Linked DNA regions of Pelodiscus sinensis. The protein of the gene in region 1 interacts with the protein of each later gene in a pairwise test. Links are inferred from orthologs where the notes say so. Each region holds a gene or a part of one and is shown in the gene's direction. Other genes may lie near its edges.

The links. The genes of interacting proteins can lie anywhere in the genome.
Region 2: the proteins of FEZ1 (region 1) and PAM16 interact in a two-hybrid assay, tested with the Homo sapiens proteins (2 studies listed by BioGRID and IntAct). The link is inferred for Pelodiscus sinensis from reciprocal best matches to the Homo sapiens genes FEZ1 and PAM16.
Region 3: the proteins of FEZ1 (region 1) and PDCD7 interact in a two-hybrid assay, tested with the Homo sapiens proteins (2 studies listed by BioGRID and IntAct). The link is inferred for Pelodiscus sinensis from reciprocal best matches to the Homo sapiens genes FEZ1 and PDCD7.

What each region holds. Positions count from the first base shown.
Region 1 is NC_134736.1:13,407,420-13,414,526, reverse strand, and holds the start of FEZ1 (fasciculation and elongation protein zeta-1), read left to right. Parts: upstream 1-4,100; 5' UTR 4,101-4,271; coding exon 4,272-4,471; intron 4,472-7,107. UniProt on the Homo sapiens protein: May be involved in axonal outgrowth as component of the network of molecules that regulate cellular morphology and axon guidance machinery.
Region 2 is NC_134726.1:3,202,750-3,210,189, forward strand, and holds the start of PAM16 (mitochondrial import inner membrane translocase subunit TIM16), read left to right. Parts: upstream 1-4,427; 5' UTR 4,428-4,568; intron 4,569-4,601; 5' UTR 4,602-4,854; coding exon 4,855-4,857; intron 4,858-5,990; coding exon 5,991-6,075; intron 6,076-6,545; coding exon 6,546-6,673; intron 6,674-7,034; coding exon 7,035-7,100; intron 7,101-7,440. Other genes in the region: CORO7 (coronin-7), read left to right, coding at 260-351, 1,550-1,636, 2,476-2,481. UniProt on the Homo sapiens protein: Regulates ATP-dependent protein translocation into the mitochondrial matrix. Inhibits DNAJC19 stimulation of HSPA9/Mortalin ATPase activity.
Region 3 is NC_134724.1:6,575,301-6,582,246, reverse strand, and holds the start of PDCD7 (programmed cell death protein 7), read left to right. Parts: upstream 1-3,933; 5' UTR 3,934-4,012; coding exon 4,013-4,768; intron 4,769-6,946. UniProt on the Homo sapiens protein: Promotes apoptosis when overexpressed.

The sequences.
Region 1 (7,107 bases):
CTGACAGGGCCCTGGGCTGGGACCCGGTGGAGCAGGTGGGCTCAGGTCCCCCCCCCCCATCAACCCTGCAAGGCGACACACATCCTATTAGGCTGCACTGCCCTGACAAAAGGGCATTGTTATGGACTCCAGCTATTAGGCCATGCTGCCCTGGGGGGCGGGAGGAGGGCACTACTATAGACTTTGGCCACTAGGCTGCACTGTCCTGGGAGATGAAGACATTATGATGGACTCTGGGGCTATGTCTACACTGGCAGCCTCTTGTGCAAGAACATCTTGCTCACGGGTTCTTGTGCAAGAAGTCTTGCACAAGAAAACGTCCACACTGCCATGTGCGTGCTGTGCTCTTGCGCAAGAGCTCCCATGGCAGTGTGGACACTCTCTTGAGCAAGAAATCCCTGCCGAGCGTCCACACTGCCCTCTTGCGCAAGAGGGCTTACACCTGATAAAAAAAGAGGTGTAACTCCTGCACAAGGAGCCCTCTCTTACCACGCCGTACTATAAATTTCCTTGCGCAAGAGCGGGTGGGCAGTGTGGATGCGCTGCAGATTCTTGCGCAAGAAGCCAAGAGTGTAGACATAGCCTGGCTGTTAGGCCACCCTACCCTGTTGGAGAGGGGTGCTATTACAGATTCTGTCCACTAGGCCACACTGTCCGGTGAGAGACAGGGGAATTGCCAGAGACTCTGGCTGCTAGGCCACACTGCCCTGAGAAAGGGATGTTGTTACAGACTCTGACTATTAGGTTATGCCACCTAGAAAGTAAGTGGAACTGACATAGGTGGGCTAGGATGCTATTTGAATAGTAAAAACATCAGAACGGCCAGACGGGGTCAGACCAAAGGTCCATCCAGCTCAATGTCCTGTCTGCCCACAGTGGCCAATGCCCGGTGCCCCAGAGGAAGGGAACAGACCAGGGAATCCTCATGTGATCCCTCCCCTGTCACCCATTTCCAGACAAGCAGAGGCTGGGGACACCATTTCTACCCAGCCTGGCTAATAGCCATGGATGGACCTAACCTGCATGAACGTAGCTAGCTCTTTTTTGAATCCTGTTAAACTCCTTGGCTATGTCTACACTGCCCCCTCTTGTGCAAAAAATATGCAAATGAGGCAAAGCATGGAATATTGCTGCACCTCATTTGCATAATTAATGAGGCTCTGTTTTTGTGCAAAAACCCCCTCTTGAGCAAGAGCCGTTCTTCCTGGAAAAGAGGACGAATGGCTCTTGCACAAGAGTGGGGGTTTGTGCAAAAAGGAGCCGTGTAGAATCCTCACTTGCATATTTTTTGCACAAGAAGGGGCAATGTAGACATAGCCCTAGTCTTCACCACATCCTCTGGCAAGGAGTTCCACAGGTTGTGCGCTGGCTATTGATGCCTGCAGCATGACCTGAACATTCAGAATTGTTTGGCTGCAGAATGGAAAGCTCTCTCATAGGGATGTAAGCAACTAGTGACTCGACTAGTTGCTCCCCTCTCCTCTTTGCTGCCTCTATCAGAGAGAAGTAGGAAGGGGAGAAGAGCAGGAGCTGATGCTGGGGGAAGCTTGCTTAAAAGCCAGTTCCCACCAATACCGTCTCCCTGGGGAGGGGCAGGGACGCAGTGGGGAACTGGCAGCATTTCCACCTTTGAAGTGCAGTGAGAGTGGAGCTCTCGCTACATTTCAAACGCAGAAACACCACGGGGAGCACGTCCCCCTGTTGGCCCCGTACCCCTCTCCAATGGGGCTTCTGCGTTTGAAATGTAGTAAGAGCCAGCAGGGCTCTTAGTACATTTCAAATTCAGAGGCATCCTTATCGACTAATCGATTAGTTGATGCAAATTCCATTAACTATTCAATTAGTTGATTAATCTAAATTGAACATCCCTCCTCTCGCATTAGAGAGACAGATGCTGAAAGGCCGTCCCCTTGGTCAGAGATCCAGCCGCAGAACCACTGTTCCTTGTTCAGCAGGGTTGGTGCAACCAGACACTATGTCCTTGCCTTGGAAGCGGGTAGCAGTCATGCCCATGACCTGACGCCGAGCTCTGTGTAGCTTGAAAGCGTCTCTCTCGCACCAATGGAAGTTGGCCCAATATAAGATTCTACCTCACGCACCTTATCACTGTAATACCTGGGACCGACTTGGCTCCAATACACGCGTCCATGGCCATGAGCCACCGGCTGGGATCTCCACAGCTCTAGAATAGGCACAGGACTGTTTGATGCACAGAGACCTCGGAGAGAGTCATGAAAATACCAAGGAACCTAAAAGCTCCTGCTGCTCATCCCACCTGAATGTGGCCATTTGCCATTCTCGTGTGTGCCACAAGGTGGTGCCAGAGAGATGATTTCAGTCCCTTACCCTGGGCCTGGGGGAGTTTCACTCTGGAGGAAGAGAGACCCTCGGGGTGGATGGATGGTCCTGAGGGATGCTGAGCAGCATGGAGGCCCAGGGAGCCACAATGGGGCATCCAGATTTTCTTTTGCACCCTTGGGCCTCCCAGCTCAAAAGTCATGTTCTTGGCTCCCTCCGGCAGCCAGCTTCATCTGCCCCTCCGGCAGGAAGAAAGTTGCTGCTCTGCCGGGTTAACACCTATACAGCAGTGAATGTGGGTCTGGACTGGTGCTGGGCTGGCGTCTAAAAGCAAAAGTGCCTGCTTTTCCATTCGCCGAGGCGTGGGTAACTCCACGGGAGTCCTCCTCAGCGCCCTGGTGCAGGGGAGTCAAAAATCAGGCCAGAACCTTTTCTAAGCTGACCTATTTCTCTGATGCAGGAAAAGCGAGGAGGGGGTGGGGGAACAGGCCAAGCCCTTTCTTAGCAGCCCAGTGGGTTGGGATGAGAAAGGAAAGTCGCAAACCAAACAACCTGTGTGTCAGTCCAGGAGGAAGCCCTAGAATAAATTCACATCTTAATTATTACTCCTCATTGGCTGGCTGGCTGCCGTAGAGCTGGGATTAAGGGTTTAAAGGTATATTGCTTTTTAGAACATGCTGGATCACCCTTGCTAACTGACCCCCTTTAGTTTACTAAACCTCTTGTGTGGACTAGGGATGTGAATGGGTAACCAGTTAACTGGTTAGTGGGTTTCCCAGGAGCAGTCCCCCACCCATGCAGCTTTTCTGGCAACAGAGAAATAGGTCAAGGCTTTGGGGATATTTTTAATTTTTGGAGGCTGCAGTACTTTTGTGATGGGTTTGGGGATTTTTGAAGCTCGGGAGCTTTTCAGAGGCAATAGACCAAAGGCTCTGGGGATTTTACTGAGGCCTCTGAGCCTCTTGCAATTTTTAATTAAGATTTAAGATGATTTTTTTTGTCTGAGAACCTGGAAAAAAGTTGTTTCAGGGGGAGGGGCTGAAATCAATTTCTTTTTTAGGAATTGCAGAAAATTGGTAAGGGAAGCCAAGAGACTAAGAGAAATCTCTGGCCAACAGAATGAAGGGCAATAAAAAGTAGGGTTGTCAAGCAATTAAAAAGATCACCCGGGACGCCTTTCCAAGAGACGGTGCTGCACCCAGCCAGGGTCAGCTGGGGACTCCAGCTGACCCCAGGCTCAGTGCAGCTGCCCCTTGGAAATGCATCAGTGATGTTTCCAAGGGGCAGCATCATGGGAGCCTGGGATCAGCTGGAGTCCCCAGCTGACCCCGGCTCCGTGCCTCCTTCCTTGCATTGATCACAGGTCTTAAGGCAGATCAATTGACAGCCCCAATAAAAAGCTTTTTTTAGATCATGAACAAAAAGAATCCGGAACAGATCGTTTTCCATTCTCCACCTTAGCACGCCTCCGGCATTCCCCTGCCCTTAGTCTGTGTCCGAGAGCTGTGACACGGACCAGAAATTGCCTCTCCTCGGCAGAAGAACCCATGTTGAATTGGCTAGAGTGACTGGTGTCCTGGGGGGACCTGCAGGGCCTCAGAGGGAGAAAGCCTGCAGACGAGGGAGCAGTTTCTTCTGCGGGGTCGCTGAACTGAACCCCTGGCTCAGAGCAGCGTGTCCGGACAGACAGCAGAGGGGGCTGCTGCTGCGAGACCCCCCCCCCCTTTGCCAGGAGGGGCCCTGGGCTCTGACTTTCCTTTCTCCCAGGCTGGCCTTGGAAAGACTCTTCCATTTGTGACGCGATTCCCCGCCCAGCCAGCCCCGGGCCCCGGCCCGCCGGGAGCCTGCGTCGCCCCCCAGGCTTTGCGCTCAGGCCAGAGCCCCGCTCCCCCCGCCCCGAGGCCCCAGGGTGCCCCCAGGCCCCGGGGACCGAGCCGCGCGCCCGCCCGGCTGCGCGCAGCTGCGGCATATTGATGAGGGGGCCGGGCGCGCAGCGCTCGCTGCAGAGAGGCGGCCGCCGGCCCGGACCAGCCCCGTCTCCGCGCAGCCAGGCAGCGGCTGCCGAGCCCGCGGCGCCTCCTCCAGCCGGCGATGCGGAGCTGAGCCCGAGCCCGGCTGCCCGGGACCCCCGGCCGCCAGCCCAGAGGTGCCTGCCACGGCCCTTGTGTCCGAGGTAGGGGGGTTGTGTGGTTGTTGTGTTGTGTTGTGTGCGCGCGCCCACCAGCGGGACTGGATGCGTGTGCATGGATGTGTGTACAGGAAAGGCTGGGTGTGTTTGTGCACAGGGTGTCAGTGGTTGTGTACGGGGGTGTTTGTGTGTGTGTACAGGGAGCTGTGTTGTGTAAGGGGACTCGGGGTGTGTGTGTGTGTGTGTACACAGAACAGGCTGTGTGTTTGCAGGGGCGGTGTGTGTGTGTGGAACAGGGTCTCTGTGTGTGTGTGTGTGTGTGTACCCAGAACAGGCTCTGTGTGTACCCAGAACAGGCTGTGTGTTTACAGGGGGTGTGTGTGTGTGTGTGTGTGTGTGTGTGTGTGTACCCAGAACAGGCTGTGTGTGTGTGTGTGCGTGTACCCAGAACAGGCTGTGTGTTTACAGGGGCTGTGTGTGTGTGTGTGTGTGTGTGTGTGTGTGTACCCAGAACAGGCTGTGTGTGTGTGTGTGTACCCAGAACAGGCTGTGTGTGTGTGTGTGTGTGTACCCAGAACAGGCTGTGTGTTTACAGGGGGTGTGTGTGTGTGTGTGTGTGTGTGTGTGTGTGTGTGTACCCACCCAGAACAGGCTATGTGTTTACAGGGGCTGTGTGTCCATCCAGAGGGAGGCTGTGCGGGTGTGCGAGGACGCGGCATATTCCCTGGTCCAAGGCATGTGCAGGGAATGGTGTGTTGCAGGCCTTGATGCTGAGGTGGGTCAGGGGGGCTGTGCTGAGAATGCAGTGAGAGGGCGCCTGGGGCCTGGGGATCGGTGTAAGGCGGATGGTGCAGAGGGATTTCATAGCTGTATGATGGCTGAGAATCCAGGGTGTATGTGGAACATGGGGGGAGGGGGGAGCAGATGTCAGTGTGCCTGGGGTGGGGGAGGAGGCTTTGTTGTGCAGCAACGAGGCTTTCTGGGAGCTGGCAAGTGCACACGGAGGGGGCTGTGTCTGCAGTGAGGTAGAGGCCTGTGTGTGTGCGTGCATGTGGGCTGGTGTTGGATGTGTGTGGGAGTGGCTGTTCAGAGAGACAAGAGCGAGTGCATGTGGAGGAGAGAGGAGAGGAGATGGGGGTAGGTGTGCAGGGAGGGGAACTTGTTAGTGTGTGTGAGCATACGGGAGGTGGGTGTTGTGCGTGGAGCCTGCGGATGGTTTGGCTGTAATGGGGGGGGGTGCATGTCCCCAGGGATGGAGAGGGTGTGTTTTTGAGGGGCGGGATGCAGTATTGCTGCCCGGCACTTAAAACAAGGTGACCTGACCTCACTAGTGCAGTCCCTGGGAAGCCCTGACGTGCTCATTACAAAGAGAACAACATGGTGCCGGGTTCTCTGCTTGCCGAACAGGGAGGCAGAGGAAATGCTGGTGGTGGAGCTCTGAAAGCCAACAGCAAAGTGACAGGGACACTCCTTCCACCTCTCTCCTTCCTCTCTGAGCACCATCAGTGTGCAGGATCTGATGCTGGAGGGAGGCTGTTTGCCCAGGGTACCCCCCCTCCCCCTTTCTGGAGTGGGATGACTCAGCGGGCACTGGCTCTGCAAGGAAGGCATACCATGGAGATCGTGGTGGGAGTTTGAAACCAGGAGCGAGCTAATGAAAGTCGAGCACAGTTGGGACTGGGGGGGAGGGGGGGGAGAATTCTGTTAACCAGAGAGGCGAGGGCGAGCGGAGGAGAAAGGAGCCCTGAGCTGACCGGTGTGGGAAGGTTGGTGCAAATCCAGAAGCCGATGGAGATGGCAGAGGGGTCGATTACCTGCGGTTCTGGGGGATTCTCCATCTCTGGCAATTTCAAAATCAAGATTAGTTTTCCAAACAAGATCTAGTTCAAACAGGAGCCATTTCAGGGGCACTGTTGTCGGCAGGAGGGCAGCCTTGATGATTACAGTGGTTCTTTCTGGCCTCAGAATCTTTACATGATGCTCATTTATGGGACATTTTCTCTTGAGCTTCCGCGTCTTTCTGTTCTCCATTTTCTATTGCTTCTGTCATGTCACGTTTGGCAAAAATGGAACTTGAGATTTGCTCCGCAGTGAAGCAGAGTGTCGGAATTTCTGCTCTTGTTCACCTGCCTGCCGAGATGCTAAATTGGAGGGCATGCTTGCTGTTGGAGTGGACTCTTAAAGAGCAGGGTTTAGGATAAATAAGGGGGAAATTCAGAACCAAGGGCCAGAAAGACCAGTGAAGTGGTGTTATGCTTTGTGACCTTATTGTGCAGGAGACAAGTGGATTTCCCCATGGTGTGTTGGCAGAGATGCAAGGCAGTGAAAGGACAGGAAGTCTCATGTACACATTGGGGTTGCAGTCTTGAAAAGGGAGACAGATACCAAAATGATGGATACGAGGGAATTTCCCCCCATAAGATATAATGGTCCTCTCTGCATGCTCCCACCACTCCTGCTCCCCCGTTCCTGCCAGCGCCTCCTGAGTGCTGGAAGAAGCACACGCAGAGGGTGTGAGCCGTGCAAAGGGTGATGTAAGAGCTGCAGATGGGGACTGGTATGGATGGGATTAGGGTCCCCTATTGGTGGGTGTCGGATACATGAAATGATGGGTAGGAAGGAGACGTAAGCAGGGTACGCTGACAGAACTGCTGTGGGTCCAGGGCTGGAGCAGCTGGAGA
Region 2 (7,440 bases), on another chromosome or scaffold:
CCTGGCCGTGGGGCACTGGGAGACGCTAAGGCTCAGGGTGGGCAGGAGGAATGGGGGGCCTTGCCAGGCGCAGGGCAGGAAGGGGCCAGGGAAGGCTTAGGGTGGGCAGGGGCTGGCGGAAGGGGGAAGGGGCCAGGGTGGCCAGGCTCTCCCTGGGACTGGAGGAGGCCCTATGGGAAGGCCGGTGAGCTGAGCTGGGTGGCGCCAGGGGGTGGGGTGAGAAGGCGGGTGCTGACGCTGTTCTCTCCCGCCGGGCCAGTGAGCGCGGCCCCGCAGGAAGCGCCTTCCCGGAAGTACGTCCCGGCCAAGGTCTACCTGGAGGAGAAGTCTGACGAGCAGAAGAAGGAGGAGGTGGGGCAGCCCCCAGGAACCTGTGTGGCTCACTGCCCCAGCCAGGCCACCCTGCCCCATGGCCATGGTCTGTTTCTGGCCTGGTGCTAGGGTCCATTGGCCACGCTGGGTGTCTCCCTTTGGTGTCTCTGCCAGATGCTGACCCTGCCCACGTGCTCCACGGAGCCCCTCCCTGCCAGGTTCTGACCCCGCCCACAGCTCCATGTAGCCCCTCCTTGCCAGGTTCTGACCCCGCCCACCTGCTCCACGGAGCCCCTCCCTGCCATGTTCCAACCCCGCCCACAGCTCCATGGAGCCCCTCCCTGCCAGGTTCTGACCCCGCCCACCTGCTCCACGGAGCCCCTCCCTGCCAGGTTCTGAGTCCGCCCACCAGCTCCATGGAGCCCCTCCCTGCCAGGTTCTGACCCCGCCCACAGCTCCATGGAGCCCCTCCCTTCCAGGTTCTGACCCCACCCACAGCTCCATGGAGCCCCTCCCTGCCAGGTTCTGACCCTGCCCACCAGCTCCATGGAGCCCCTCCCTGCCAGGTTCTGACCCCGCCCACAGCTCCATGCAGCCCCTCCCTGCCATGTTCTGACCCCGCCCACCAGCTCCATGGAGCCCCTCCCTGCCAGGTTCTGACCCCGCCCACCAGCTCCATGGAGCCCCTCCCTGCCAGGTTCTGACCCCGCCCACAGCTCCATGGAGCCCCTCCCTGCCATGTTCAGACCCCGCCCACAGCTCCATGCAGCCCCTCCCTGCCATGTTCTGACCCCGCCCACCAGCTCCATGGAGCCCCTCCCTGCCATGTTCCGACCCCGCCCACCAGCTCCATGGAGCCCCTCCCTGCCAGGTTCTGACCCCGCCCACCAGCTCCATGGAGCCCCTCCCTGCCATGTTCCGACCCCGCCCACCAGCTCCATGGAGCCCCTCCCTGCCAGGTTCTGACCCCGCCCACCAGCTCCATGGAGCCCCTCCCTGCCAGGTTCCGACCCCGCCCACCAGCTCCATGGAGCCCCTCCCTGCCAGGCGCTGACCCCGCCCACCAGCGCTCCCCCAGGCAGGGGGAGTACCTGTCATGAGAGTGCCTGCTGGAGTCAGCCTCTAACCCGCGCCCAGGGCTGGGACCGAGGCTGCAGTGCCCGCGTTCTCAGCTGCCTTTCACGGATGCCTGGGACCATTGCGGGCCGGTGCCCACACTCTGCCCTTCTCCCTGCAGCTGCTGAGCGCGATGGTGGCCAAGCTGGGCAACCGGGAGGACCCGCTGCCGCAGGACTCCTTCGAGGGCGTGGACGAGGCGGAATGGGTAGGCTGGGGCTGCTGCGGGGTGAGGGGCTGTTGTGACGCGCTGCCCTCAAGGGGACAGCCAGTACTCAGCTCGCTGGCAGCCACAGGGCTGCCTGAGCCCCCTGCCGTCTGCTCTCAGCCCCCCAGGAAAAGCTCGGCAGTGGGACCTATGGACAGTTGCCTGGGAACAACCCTCCAGACCTCCATGCCCAGGGGGAGTCCTGGGGGGGCAGAACACCCAGTGATCCCACCCCTGTGCCAGGCACCCTGCCCAGGATGTGGGGGGGGCTGTGGAGGGGCAGAACACCCAGTGATCCCACCCCTGTGCCAGGCACCCTGCCCAGGATGTGGGGGGGGCTGTGGAGGGGGCAGAACACCCGGTGATCCCACCCCTGTGCCAGGCGCCCTGCCCAGGATGTGGGGAGGCTGTGGAGGGGGCAGAACGCCCGGTGATCCCACCCCTGTGCCAGGCGCCCTGCCCAGGATGTGGGGAGGCTGTGGAGGGGGCAGAACGCCCGGTGATCCCACCCCTGTGCCAAGCGCCCTGCCCAGGATGTGGGGGGGCTGTGGAGGGGGCAGAACGCCTGATGATCCCACCCGTGTGCCAGGCGTCCTGCCCGGGCGTGGGGGGGCTGTGGAGGGGGCAGAACGCCCGGTGATCCCACCCCTGTGCCAAGCGCCCTGCCCAGGATGTGGGGGGGCTGTGGAGGGGGCAGAACGCCTGATGATCCCACCCGTGTGCCAGGCGTCCTGCCCGGGCGTGGGGGGGCTGTGGAGGGGGCAGAACGCCCAGTGATCCCACCCGTGCCAGGTGCCTTTCCTGGGCTCCTGGTCCCACTCACCCATCTTTCGTTGTAGGACTAGCCCTGGAGGGGTGACTCCTTTCCCTGGGACCACCGTCTCCTCCATGCCAAAGCTGCTGGCTCCCCACGCCCTGCCTGGCCTTGGCGGCTCCCACGCTGAGGACTTGCCTTTCGCTGGACCACGCCCGCCCCAGGCTTCGCCGCTGCCCGCCTCAGTGCCCCACCAGCAGCGCTCTGCCGAAGCACCCAGGATGCCCACTCTGTGCCGGGCTCTGCTCTGCTACCCAAGGGCTAATGGACTCGGCGAGCCAGACCCTGCCTCCCTCCTCGGCCTGGCCTGCCCCGAACGCTCTGCCGCTTGCTCGGCCGCCGCGCTGCCCCCGCTTCGACCAGGAGTGCGCACCTCAGCCCGACACACCAGCAGGCGCCTCCGGCTGGCGCTGCTCAAACTACCCCCCTCGGGGTAACCTCCGCCGGCAGTGACAGCCCAGGGGAGTTGGGGGAGCCGCTGGGGGGGGTCTGGGCCTCCCAGCCTGGCCTGACGTTTCCTTTCACAGCCACCGACCCTTCCTGGTGTGGTACCACCAGCTCTTCAGCCCTCAGAGCTGCCCCCAGGACAGGGCGCGACTGGCAATGCCCCCTTCGGCCAGCACGGGGCTCTAAGGTGGGGGGTCCTTGAACGCCTTACAGGCCTGCCCCAGAGCACTCGCCCGGCCTTGCTGCACGGTCAGGCCCTTCCTCCGGGCCGCAGGGATCACGGGCCGGAGGCTGGAATGCCCCCGGCACAAGGGGCCACCACGTGCCTTCTCTGTGTCTGCCGCCCTGGCTGCTGGCACCCGGCGAGTCACTGCCTGGCTGGCCCTGGCATTGTTCCGCCAGGAATCGTGTGTTCTCAAAGCACAAGCCCCCCAAGGGCACCCTGCCCTGGTCTCGAGGGCAGCCCATCTTGGGCAGGGTCACCCGGGGGGAGCCTCAGGGATGGGAGGGGCCATGGAGCCCAGCCCTGTGGTTGAGGGGTTCAGCTGCACCCCCAGAAATCAGGAAACCAAGGGAGCCCAGCCTGCGTAGCTCTACCTTGCCAACAAACCCAAGTGCCAGAGAGGGCTGGCACCATTGGCCAAGGCCGGGCTGGGCTTGTCAGGGGCAGGGCCAGGGGCCCGCTGGGTGAGGCCGAATGCCAGCAACCCAGCTGTGCGCAGGGGGCTTCCGAAACGGCACCGCAAGTTTTAATAAAAGGTTCTTTAAAAACCCAATGGAGGCAGCAAGTCTATAACCTCGGAAAGGCCGTGCGGCGGCAGAGCCTTCTCCAGGGTGGGGCGGCCGGCTGCCCCTTGCCCGGCACTGGGCAGGGTTCCAGGAGGTGACCCAGGAGGCAAAGGGACCCATGTTCAGAGGCCGGGCCCTGGGGGAGGGTGTGACGGCGCGTTGGGGGTCCCCCATCTCCTGCACCCCGAAATGGCACAAACAGACTGCACCAGCCGGTGGAATAGAGGAATTTTATTGCCTCTCCAGGATACAGCACAGCACAGATGTAATCTGGTCACAGAGCTGGGCTAGGATGCCTCAGGCCCCCTTGAGATGGGGAGACCGGGCCCCTAAACTCCAGCCCCTTTCCCTAGGCTGTCTCCTCCATGCCCCCAACCAGCAACTAACCAACCCTCTTCCAGCCCTGCCCCCAGCCAGGGCAGCATCCACCTTCCTTTGTTCCTCTCCATGGGGGGTGTCTGGCCATACCGGTTGAGAGGTCCCTTTGCATAGTGACTCATCCTGTTTTGCTGGGTCGTGGTACCCACGGCAGCCAGTGGGGGTTACCCCAGAGCCAGCCGCATAGAAACCAGCCAGGTCCCCCCACTACGTCACAGAGGGAACGCTTCCTGCAAAGGAACTGCCAGTGCCACTGGGTCCGGCTCCCACCGGGCACGGGGCCTGGCAGCAGGCGACCCTCCAAAGCCCGCCCCATGGGACTGGCTGGCTGGGCACGGCTCAGCCCGGCAGCGACTGCGCTGGCGGCCAAGGGGGCCAGGGCCTGGGCCATATTGGGGCATATGGGGCTGGCAGGGGGTCTCCAGGGCTTGGTGCCCTCCCGGGGCAGAGCACCCGCAGGGCTGCAGACGGGCGGAGGCATCACGCCGCGTGGGGGGGGCAGAGGCCCGCGGGCCGGGCCAGTGGCTGAGGACTGAGGCCCGCGGGCCGGGGCTGGCAGCGCTGCCCGACTGGGCTGCACCCCGCGCTCCGCTCGCCGGCAGGGGGCGCCTCGTGCCAGTCACATGATCAAACTAGCTGGGCCAGCCGGGGCTGCAGCTTCCCCGCCGCCCGCCAGGGGGCGCGCTCCCTCCGCGCTCCGCCCGGCCCGGCTCTATGGTGCCCGGCGCGCGCCCCCCGCCCCGCCCCGCCCCCAGCGCTTCGCTCCCCGAGCCGGGCCGCGCGCAGGGACATGGTGAGCGCGGCCGGGCCCCCGCCAGCCCCCCCCCCACGCGGCCTGGGGAGCGCGCCCCGGCGGGGGGCGCGCCCTAGAGGGGGGGGGGCGTCCTGGCGGGGGGGGGGGTTAGTCTGCTGGGGGGGGAGCCCTGGCGGGGGGGTTATCTGCGGGGGGGGCGCCCTGGCGGGGGGGGTTAGTCTGCTGGGGGGGGCGCCCTGGCGGGGGGGTTAGTCTGCTGGGGGGGTGCCCTGGCGGGGGGGGGTTATCTGCGGGGGGGCGCCCTGGCGGGGGGGTTAATCTGCGGGGGGGGCGCCCTGGCGGGGGGGTTAATCTGCTGGGGGGGTGCCCTGGCGGGGGGGGGGTTATCTGCGGGGGGGCGCCCTGGCGGGGGGGGGGGTTATCTGCGGGGGGGGCGCCCTGGCGGGGGCGTTAATCTGCGGGGGGGGCGCCCTGGCGGGGGGGTTAATCCGCGGGGGGGGGCGCCCTGGCGGGGGGGTTAATCTGCAGGGGGGGCGCCCTGGCGGGGGGGTTAATCCGCGGGGGGGGCGCCCTGGCGGGGGGGGGGTTATCTGCGGGGGGGGCGCCCTGGCGGGGGCGTTAATCTGCGGGGGGGGCGCCCTGGCGGGGGGGTTAATCTGCTGGGGGGGTGCCCTGGCGGGGGGGGGGGTTATCTGCGGGGGGGGCGCCCTGGCGGGGGGGTTAATCTGCGGGGGGGGCGCCCTGGCGGGGGGGTTAATCCGCGGGGGGGGGTGCCCTGGCGGGGGGGTTAATCTGCAGGGGGGGCGCCCTGGCGGGGGGGTTAATCTGCTGGGGGGGTGCCCTGGCGGGGGGGTTAATCTGCAGGGGGGGGCGCCCTGGTGGGGGGGTTAATCTGCGGGGGGGGTGCCCTGGCGGGGGGGTTAATCTGCTGGGGGGGTGCCCTGGCGGGGGGGTTAATCTGCAGGGGGGGCGCCCTGGCGGGGGGGTTAATCTGCAGGGGGGGCGCCCTGGTGGGGGGTTAATCTGCGGGGGGGGGCGCCCTGGCGGGGGGGTTAATCTGCAGGGGGGGGCGCCCTGGTGGGGGGTTAATCTGCGGGGGGGGGCGCCCTGGCGGGGGGGGTTAATCCGCGGGGGGGGCAGCTGCCCCTCCCCTGATGCCGCTGTGTCCGCAGGCCAAGTACCTGGCGCAGATCCTGGTGCTGGGGGCGCAGGTGCTGGGCAGGGCTTTCGCCCGGGCGCTGCGGCAGGAGTTCGCAGGTGAGCACCGGGCGCCCGCCCGCTCTGGGGCTGGCTGGTCCCGGCCTGGGCTGCGGTGCCCCGATTGCCCCGCGCGTGCCGGGCCCTGCCCAGGCCGATGGGGCCGGACAGAGCACAGCGGGGTCCCCCATGGCCCCACCCAGCCTGCAACCGGGGAATTGAACCTGGCGCCCTGGGCTCATAGAGCCACTGGGGATGTGAGCAGGTGTCTGGTCGCTGGGCTCCTCCAGCCCATCCCCATCCCCGCCGGAGCAGCCCCTGCCTGCAGGGAGTGGCGGGTGCTCCAGCCCCAGGTTTAACCAACTAAATGGGATTTTACATCGCCAACGGCCACCCCCAGCTCGCAGCCTGGTGGCACGTCCGGTTGTGCAGCCAGTGGCCCCCGTCCCGCTGCTCGGGGGGCAGCTCTCCTGGGAGTGCTGTGGGTGGGCTGTGCGTGCGGGGAGCCAGCTCAGGGTGTCTCTGAACAGCCAGCCGAGCCGCGGCCAATGCCCGGGGGCCCCAGTCTGCTGCAGCCACCAGCCTCTCAGGGATCAGCCTGCAAGAGGCCCAGCAGATCCTCAACATCTCCAAGCTGAGCCCGGAGGAAATCCAGAAGGTAAGGGCACAGCGCGGGCCGAGCCACAGGCAGGCCTGCACACGCTGGGAGGTCGGCCCCTTGCCCCGGCCACTGCAGGCTGGTCGTCGCGCTCTGGCAGGCATGGCTGGGCGGTGGCAGGTCCTGTTCCAGGCAGTGCCCGTGTATGGCCACCTCATTGGGGCCCTGCCACCCTGCTGGCTGCTGGGGGGTAGGCTCTGTGCTGAAGCGCATGGACGCGGCCCCCAGCGCATTCCCATATCCTGGGCACTGCCTGGAGGGCCCTGTCACCGTGCGTCCCGCAGCCGGCTGGCAGCGCGCTGACATGCAGAGCGAGGGCAGGAGGAGCGGCCGCCCATGCTTGGCTTGTTTCCTTTGGCAGAATTACGAGCACTTATTCAAGGTGAACGACAAGTCGGTGGGGGGCTCGTTTTACCTGCAGTCTAAGGTAAGGAGGGGTTGGGCCGGCCCCATAGGGATGGGGGCTGGCTGGCTCTCTTGGGAGCTGTGGGGCTGGAGGCTTTCAGGCTCTCGCTGCGCTAAGCCCCTGGAGCGGAAGCAGATCTTTTCCGAGATCTTTGCCAGGTGACTGTGTTGCTTGCAGTGTCCTTTGGGTGCCCCATCCCCGCATGCCTCTCTGGGCTCTCCTGTCACACGGGCTGGACCCTGGAAGTCCCCAGGAGCAGCATGTTGGAGCCTGAGAGAGGCCACGCTCTTGGGGGTCTGGCACCACATCTGTTTGCCCAGGGTTACGCCCGGGGGCACGTGGACTGAGGGAGCAAGCTGCC
Region 3 (6,946 bases), on another chromosome or scaffold:
CTGAATTGATGTTGCAATTTCTGTTTTCTTCTGGTTAAACCAATAATGGTTCAGGAAAGGCTGCTCTCAGGGTTCAGGAGACTTCCAGGAAAAGCAAGCGTACTTAGTTTACTGTAGATTCTCATAGAGAATGATCAAACTTCCAATTTTCGTAACTTTATTTTCCTTTTACAGGTAGTAGACTGAAAATTCAAATAGCTTTTAATTCTGTTAAATCATCTTTGAAATGATTAAGGAATATTTTTAGTGAAAGGCATTGAACAACTTAGTTTAATATGTAATCAAGAAATGTTTTAAAACGTGTAACTACGATTTGTACTTCAAAAGTAGGTTTGGTGTTTCAATAAAACAAAGCAAATAGTCATGAATTACATATGTTTCTGTAGATAAAGCATGAGACTTAAGTAATGGCACAAAGTAATTAACCATTCGGAAAAATGTTTTGAGTTATGGTCAGGATCTTCATTAAAAAGCTGAATTAAGTTATATATGTATATATTGAGCTTTTTCAGTTGTCTATTTTAAGACCATATTGAATATTCCTAATAGAATGGTGCTTTGGAAACTATGCAAGTTAATCATGACTTTTCATATTCTTAGAATGGAAAGGTACATATAATAAAAGTACAATAAAAAGCAAAATAGCTATAACGTGGGCGAATGAAATGCATTTTGCATAAATAGCCTGTGGTGGTTATTGTCAGATAAATGCTTCCACTAACTCAATTAAAAAGTTACCTAATTATAGTAGCTTCTGAAGGGCCATCCTTTTGCATCTTCATGCTCATTTGAAACCTTGTTATCAAGTTGATACTGTGGGGAGTGAGGCTAATTAGAGCTGCCTTCTATATAGTCAGTTATGGACAGTAATTGCCTTATTGCAGCAGTTGTCTATTTGTTATGGGAGGCCATGCCAAGATTTTAGGAAATGGTTAAAGGCTGCACTTTTCTAAGAAGAGGATGTGGGGTCTGAGATGAAGGTTGGGTGCAGAAGGGAGTTTGGGGTAGGAGGCTCGAGTGCAGGAGAGGGTATGGGATCTGAAAGGGAGCTTGGGGTGCAGGGTCTGGGAGGAGGTAAGGGAGCAAGAAAGGATTCTGGCCTGGAGAAGGGATTATTGGGTGTGCAAGGTCTGGGAGGGAGTTATGACCTATGGGAGGAGGGTGCAGAGGGATTGGGTGATGACCTGGGCAGGAAATGACCAGCAGGCATTTACCTAGGCAGTTCACAGCCAGCAGCCCTGTCCCAGGCTGTTCTAAGGCTGTCCCAGGCTGTCCCAGACTGCTCCCTGAGGCTCTCCGCTGCAGCTGCCCAGGGGGAAGGGGAAGCAGCACACGCTGCCTCACCTCCTAGCAAAATCACTTAGCTCCAGTTTCTGGACAATAGCAGCTGAGATATTTTTGTTAGCGGATGGGGACAGCATGCAAAGCCTCTCCCTCCCCTTGGTGCCTGGAGTAGAGAGCTATGGGAAGCTTCTGGCTGCTCTGTGCCTGAGGTTCCTGGTTTGGGGCTGCTCACAGGTTGGATCCGGAGGCTTGTGGGATGGGCCATATCTAGCTCTGTCATATCTAGCCCTCTCTTATTGAAAGGCTTGCTTTATCATCTGTTTGGATACTACTAAACCCAGGGAAATACCTGTTTTGAATGAAAGCACTGTGGCTACATCTACACTGCCAGTTTTGTGGGCTGTGAGCATGCAAATGAGGTGTGGATTAGCATATTGATGTGCAATTTGCATAATTTATGCAAACTCTTTGCACAAAGGGTTTTTGCAGGAAAAAAAATTAGCGTGGACTGGGTTTTTCCCGCAAAAACCCCGTTTTGCGTAAGATCCTTATGCCCCTCCGGGAGAGGCGTAAGGATCTTGCGGAAAACGGATTTTGCGCAGAAACAAAACATCCACACTACTTTTTTTTCTGCAGCGATATGCTAATCTACACCTCATTGCAAAACCGGCAATGTAGACGAAGCCTGGGTGTCCCAATAGCAGTAAGTCTAAATGACTGCATAAGTAAAGATCAGTGCTTTTTTTTGTAAAATGCACCAAACCAATGACTGAGGGAAAAGTATGCATATGTAAAACTCTTCCCTTCTCACATTGTATTAGTAATTGTGGAAGTTACCTGTGTCAGTTCCTTGCACCTTGATGGAAGGAGTCGCATAACTGACCACTTTAAGGTCTAGGAAAAGATGCTCCAGTTGGCTTTTTGCTAAGAGTTTTACACGCTTTGTTTGTTCATTACTCCTGGGGACATGAATATGTGAAGGGAAATTCTAGGAACCCATTGGAGAAGGCTTTCAGCAGGCTTCAAAACATTTAGTACTAAACCAAACCAGTTCTGTGCTGTTGGGGATAGAGAAATGGAAATGGTTCAAGTAAACTCTCTCCTGCCCACTGTTTCATTTAGTGCTGTCTGTGTAATCCCAGTTTTGCAGCTCCTGGAAATACCTAGGAGTAGTAAATGGGATTTATGGGAATGGGATAGATATCAATCTGCTTTGCAGTGCAAAGATGTAGAATAGCAGGACTGTGGCTGGGTCCAGCGAACCAACAGCAGAGCAGTTCTTCAGCTGCCATTTTGGCAAGAAGGGACAGATTGAAGCAGCTGAGATTAGACTGTACTAGTCTAAACACATTGTTGATCACTTATCTGGAGCAAACAAGTCCATACTAGGAGCAACAGTGTCAATGCATGTATTCTTATTTGGCTATATTATGTAATGCATTTTGTAACAGTCAAATAATACAAAATGTCCATTTGTAAATTACCTCTTCTGTGCATTGATTCTGCTCCTCCTTGTGACATCCTCATACTGTTACTGCCTCATCTGCATACAGGCAATAACTGCTGGGTCATGGGAAGAGGATTTGCACTGAAGCAGCTGGCAGCGCAGGTGATATATTGAGACCAGCTGTGTAGCCCCATTTGAACATTGTGACTCTAGCTGATCAACTCCAAGGTGGTGTCAAAGCAATGCCATATATATTAAACCCTATCTCATGCCTGGTCAATTTCACTGCCAAAGGCTTTCAAAATGTGAAATTGACAAATTCTCAAATGTTTACATCTGAAATTTCACTGTAAACATTTGAGAATTTGTCAATTTCACATTTTGAAAGCCTATGGCAGTGAAATTGACCAGGCAAAAGAGCTGTGTATAGAGTGAAGATGGGTTGTAGCAAAGGTGTTGTAAGAGGGTTGGGGGATTGCTACCCTCACTTTGTGCTGCTTTCAGTGCTAGCCTCTGAAGGCTGCAGCACTTGAGCAGCTGGCATCTGCTCTCCCAGCAGCATGGAGATGACTCACCTCTGCTACTGTCAACCTCTGGCTGCAGGATGCTACAAGCCAAGTCTCAACCTGGAGCATCCTGCAGCTAGGGTTGGTTCAAGAAGGTGTGATACATCCCTGAATGGTAGCTGCACAGAGGCAGAGTAAGTCCCACACTTCCCCCACCTGGCAATGTAACAGCCAGAGCTGGGCCCTTAACAGAAATGGCTGGAGAGCCCCTCATCCTACTGTGTATGAGGTCAATGATGAACAATACGCTTAAGGAGCAACCTACAGAACCCTGCTGTGCTGCAGGTTCCCCCAACCTGGTTTCATTTGTGTGTGTGCTGCAATGTGGGAACCCTGCCAGCACGCTGCAGCAGAAGCTTAGGGCTGGCCCAGGGATTTAGAAATGACTGTGCCGGTGGCTCCCCTCTGTGCTAACAGTAGCCAATGCCCGCCAGGCCCTGGACTGAGCAGAGGGGCAGAGGCCCTGTACAAACACCACCTGCGTGTTCTAATCCAGGCAGTCAGGCCCCTTGCTTGGACTGTCTCCTCCACGTGCGTAGGGTCCTGGTCGAAGTCAGGGCTCTGCTCCCTCCCCCCTCATCAATATTCAAATTCTCCTACGCAGCCGCCCCACGTGACGTGTGCGCAGCCCTGCCCCGCCTCCTCCCCGCCGCCAGGGAGCGCTGCCGGAAGCGCGCACGCGCGCGCGCGGCCGGGCTGAGGCGAGCCGGGCCCCATGGCTCAACCGCCGCCCTTCGCCCCCCGCTTCGCCGGGCCGCCGCCGCCCGCCCCGTTCCGCTGCTTCCCGCCCCCGGGCAGCCCCTTCCCCCCGCTGCCCGCCGCCGGCCCCTTCCCGGCCGCCCCGCCCTTCCTGCCGCCGCCGCTGCCCCCGCCCGAGCTGCTCCCCGCGGGCGGCGGCTCCTTCTTCCCGGCCCGCGAGGCGGCCCCGCGGCCCCTCTACCCGGCCCCGCCGTGGGCGCCGCCGTGGGCCGAGGGCGGCGCCGAGCCCCGCGAGGCGGAGGAGGAGGCCGCGCGCCGGACGCGCGATGAGCTGTGGCTGGCCCAGTTCCTGGCCCGGCGGCGGCCCCGGCCCCGCGGCTTCCCCCCGCCGCCCGGCGCGCCCAGCCCCGGCCGAGCCCGCCAGCTGGCGGCGGGGGCGCTGCGGCCGGTGGCCCGGCTGGCGGCGCTGTGCCGCGCCCTGCGGCGGCAGGAGGCGGCCGGCGACGAGGCGGGCTGGCGCCAGGCCCACGAGCAGGCCCGCGCCCTGCTGAGGGAGCTGCAGGAGCAGCTGCGGCCCCTGCGCGAGCCCGGCGGCCTGGGCGAGCTGCGGCGCAAGGCGGACAAGGCGCGGAAGAGGCGGCTGCGCCTCCGCAAGAGGAAGCAGGAGGCCCAGGCGGCCCGGGAGGAGGAGGCGGCCCGAGCGGCGGAAAGGGAGGCCAGGATCGACCAGTGGCGAGCCAAGTGCGTCCAGGAGGTGGAGGAGAAGAACAGGGTAGGGCGCCCTCCCCCGCCGTGCAATGGCCCTGTTCCTTCCCGCTCCTTTCCATCCACGTGCGGAATAAATGTGAACGTGCACCGAGGCCTGCGTGACTGTGCACCACCCCAGAAAGAAAATCTAGCGCCCTGCTCATCCGCTGGGCAGCATTGGACTCTCTCCTGCCTGGCTACTGCGTATGCTTTACAGCAGCGGTGGGCAGGGGTTCTGCGTGTGGCCCGTGGGACAGTTTGTTTCCTGTTGCCGGTGCGCAGGGTTGCCAGATTTCGCTGGTTTCAGTATGTGTCATTTTTTTTTGCTACTGGTGTTGCTATTGTGACGTGCGTATAAAGCAAGGACACGTGGCGTGAAGTGCATGCGAGGGACATTAAAATGAAGGTATTTAACTAATTGAGTAGTTGATAGAGTTTTTATCGACTATTCAATTAGTTGATAGGCAGCCCGGCTCAGTTCTGGCTGGTGCTTGGTGTGAGACCGAACCCCACTGCAGCTCTGCAATTTAAAAGTCAGTAGGAGCCAGGCAGCCTATGCAGCTAGCAGCAATCTCTGTGTGCAGAGGTCCCAGCAGGAATTTGGGACCTCCCACAGGCAGGGACTGCTGCCTGAAGTAGGGATGTAAGCGACTAGTCAGTCGGCTATCTGATAAGCTTATCAGGTAGTTGTCACACTAGTTCCTTCCCCACCCCAACTCTTGCTGCCTTTGTCAGAAAGAGGCATCAAGGTGGAGGGAGAAGAATGAGGTGCTGGGCCAGGGAGTCAGCTTAAAAGCCGGTTCCCTCCAGCTCCATTTCAAAGCAGAAGTGCCTTATGGAGCCTGGGGCTAGCAAGAGACTGAGTCCCCCACTTGCCCCAGGCTCCACGTGGCATTTCAATCTTGTACATTTCAAAGGCTCTGCAATGGAAATTCCATCCACTATTTGATCCGTTGATTAATCTAATTTTAACATCCCTGCTGTGAAGCAGCCCCTGCCCCTGGCTGGTCGCCACAGACAGGGGCTGCTTTGCAGCAGCAGCCCCTACGTCCCCTCCCCCGCCTCTGCAGTATCAGAGGCAGGAAGTGGGGGATAATGCCAGTAGTTGACTCTACTACTCCTTTACATCCCTAGTGCATGCTGATTGCACACCATTGACTGTGAAAAGACATGTGCTCCCTCTGCATCCAAAGTGCTGCTACTATTCAGTCTGCATACCATGCGTATTCCAGGTACGCAAGCGCAGTAGGCAAAACTACCTTGTCCTGTGACTCGGTCTTGTGGCCCACTGAGTTGGAGGAGAGTCACTCATGCAGTCCACTCACTAGCCTAGGTTGCCCATCACTGGCTGACAGCGAACACTGGTACTCGGGGGTGCTAGAACTTGCTGTATCATGGATTCTGAGAGTCATTAAACCAAACTGTAAAGCCTGTATATGATGGAAACCACTTTAAGCTGGGGTGGGATTCGGTAACATCCCTAGTTCAGCATCTCTGTGGGTGTTGTGCTTTCAAGATGACCCCATTCTGGTAGTCTTTAAAGATCCAACTCGAGACAGTGATTCCACTGCTTTGGTCAAATCCCGACATGGGTCATTGTGTTCCGTCTAGGGATGTGAAAGATTAATCAGTTAACCAGAGGGGGCTGGAGCAGTTCCTGGCCTGCTGCAGACAAGGGCTGTTCCAGGCATCCAGTCCTTGTCTGCGGTGGGCCTGGGGGTGTCACAGGCAGGGGCTGCTTCAGTAAATGGTTCTTGGGGTATCCCTTAGCTACCTCATTGGCATGTCTGTAAGATTCGTCTGTTTAGAAGCTTTGCCCTTCTCTAATGAAAGTTCCAAGAATTATTATAATTCTCATAATTTTGTTGCAAATCTTGTGAAATTTAGTAACATTCTTAAAGTCCCACTTACTGAAGTCAAAGGATTATGTGCAAATCCTTGCTTTATTTATTTTTAAGTTAAGAGGGAAACATGAGACTGACACAAGCATCCTCTAAATGTTCAAGCCAGGTCTTTGCCACAAGCAGTACAGAAATACAGCTATGATACTGTGGCTGTAATGATGTAGTGTAGGCGCTTCCTACAGCAATGGAAAGGGTTTTTCCAACACTGTAGTTAATCTAGCTACTGCCTCTCAGGAAGTTAATTATCAGAAGACTTGACCTAGCCATGTTTCCCCCAAGGCTTAGGTCAGCTTTATTAG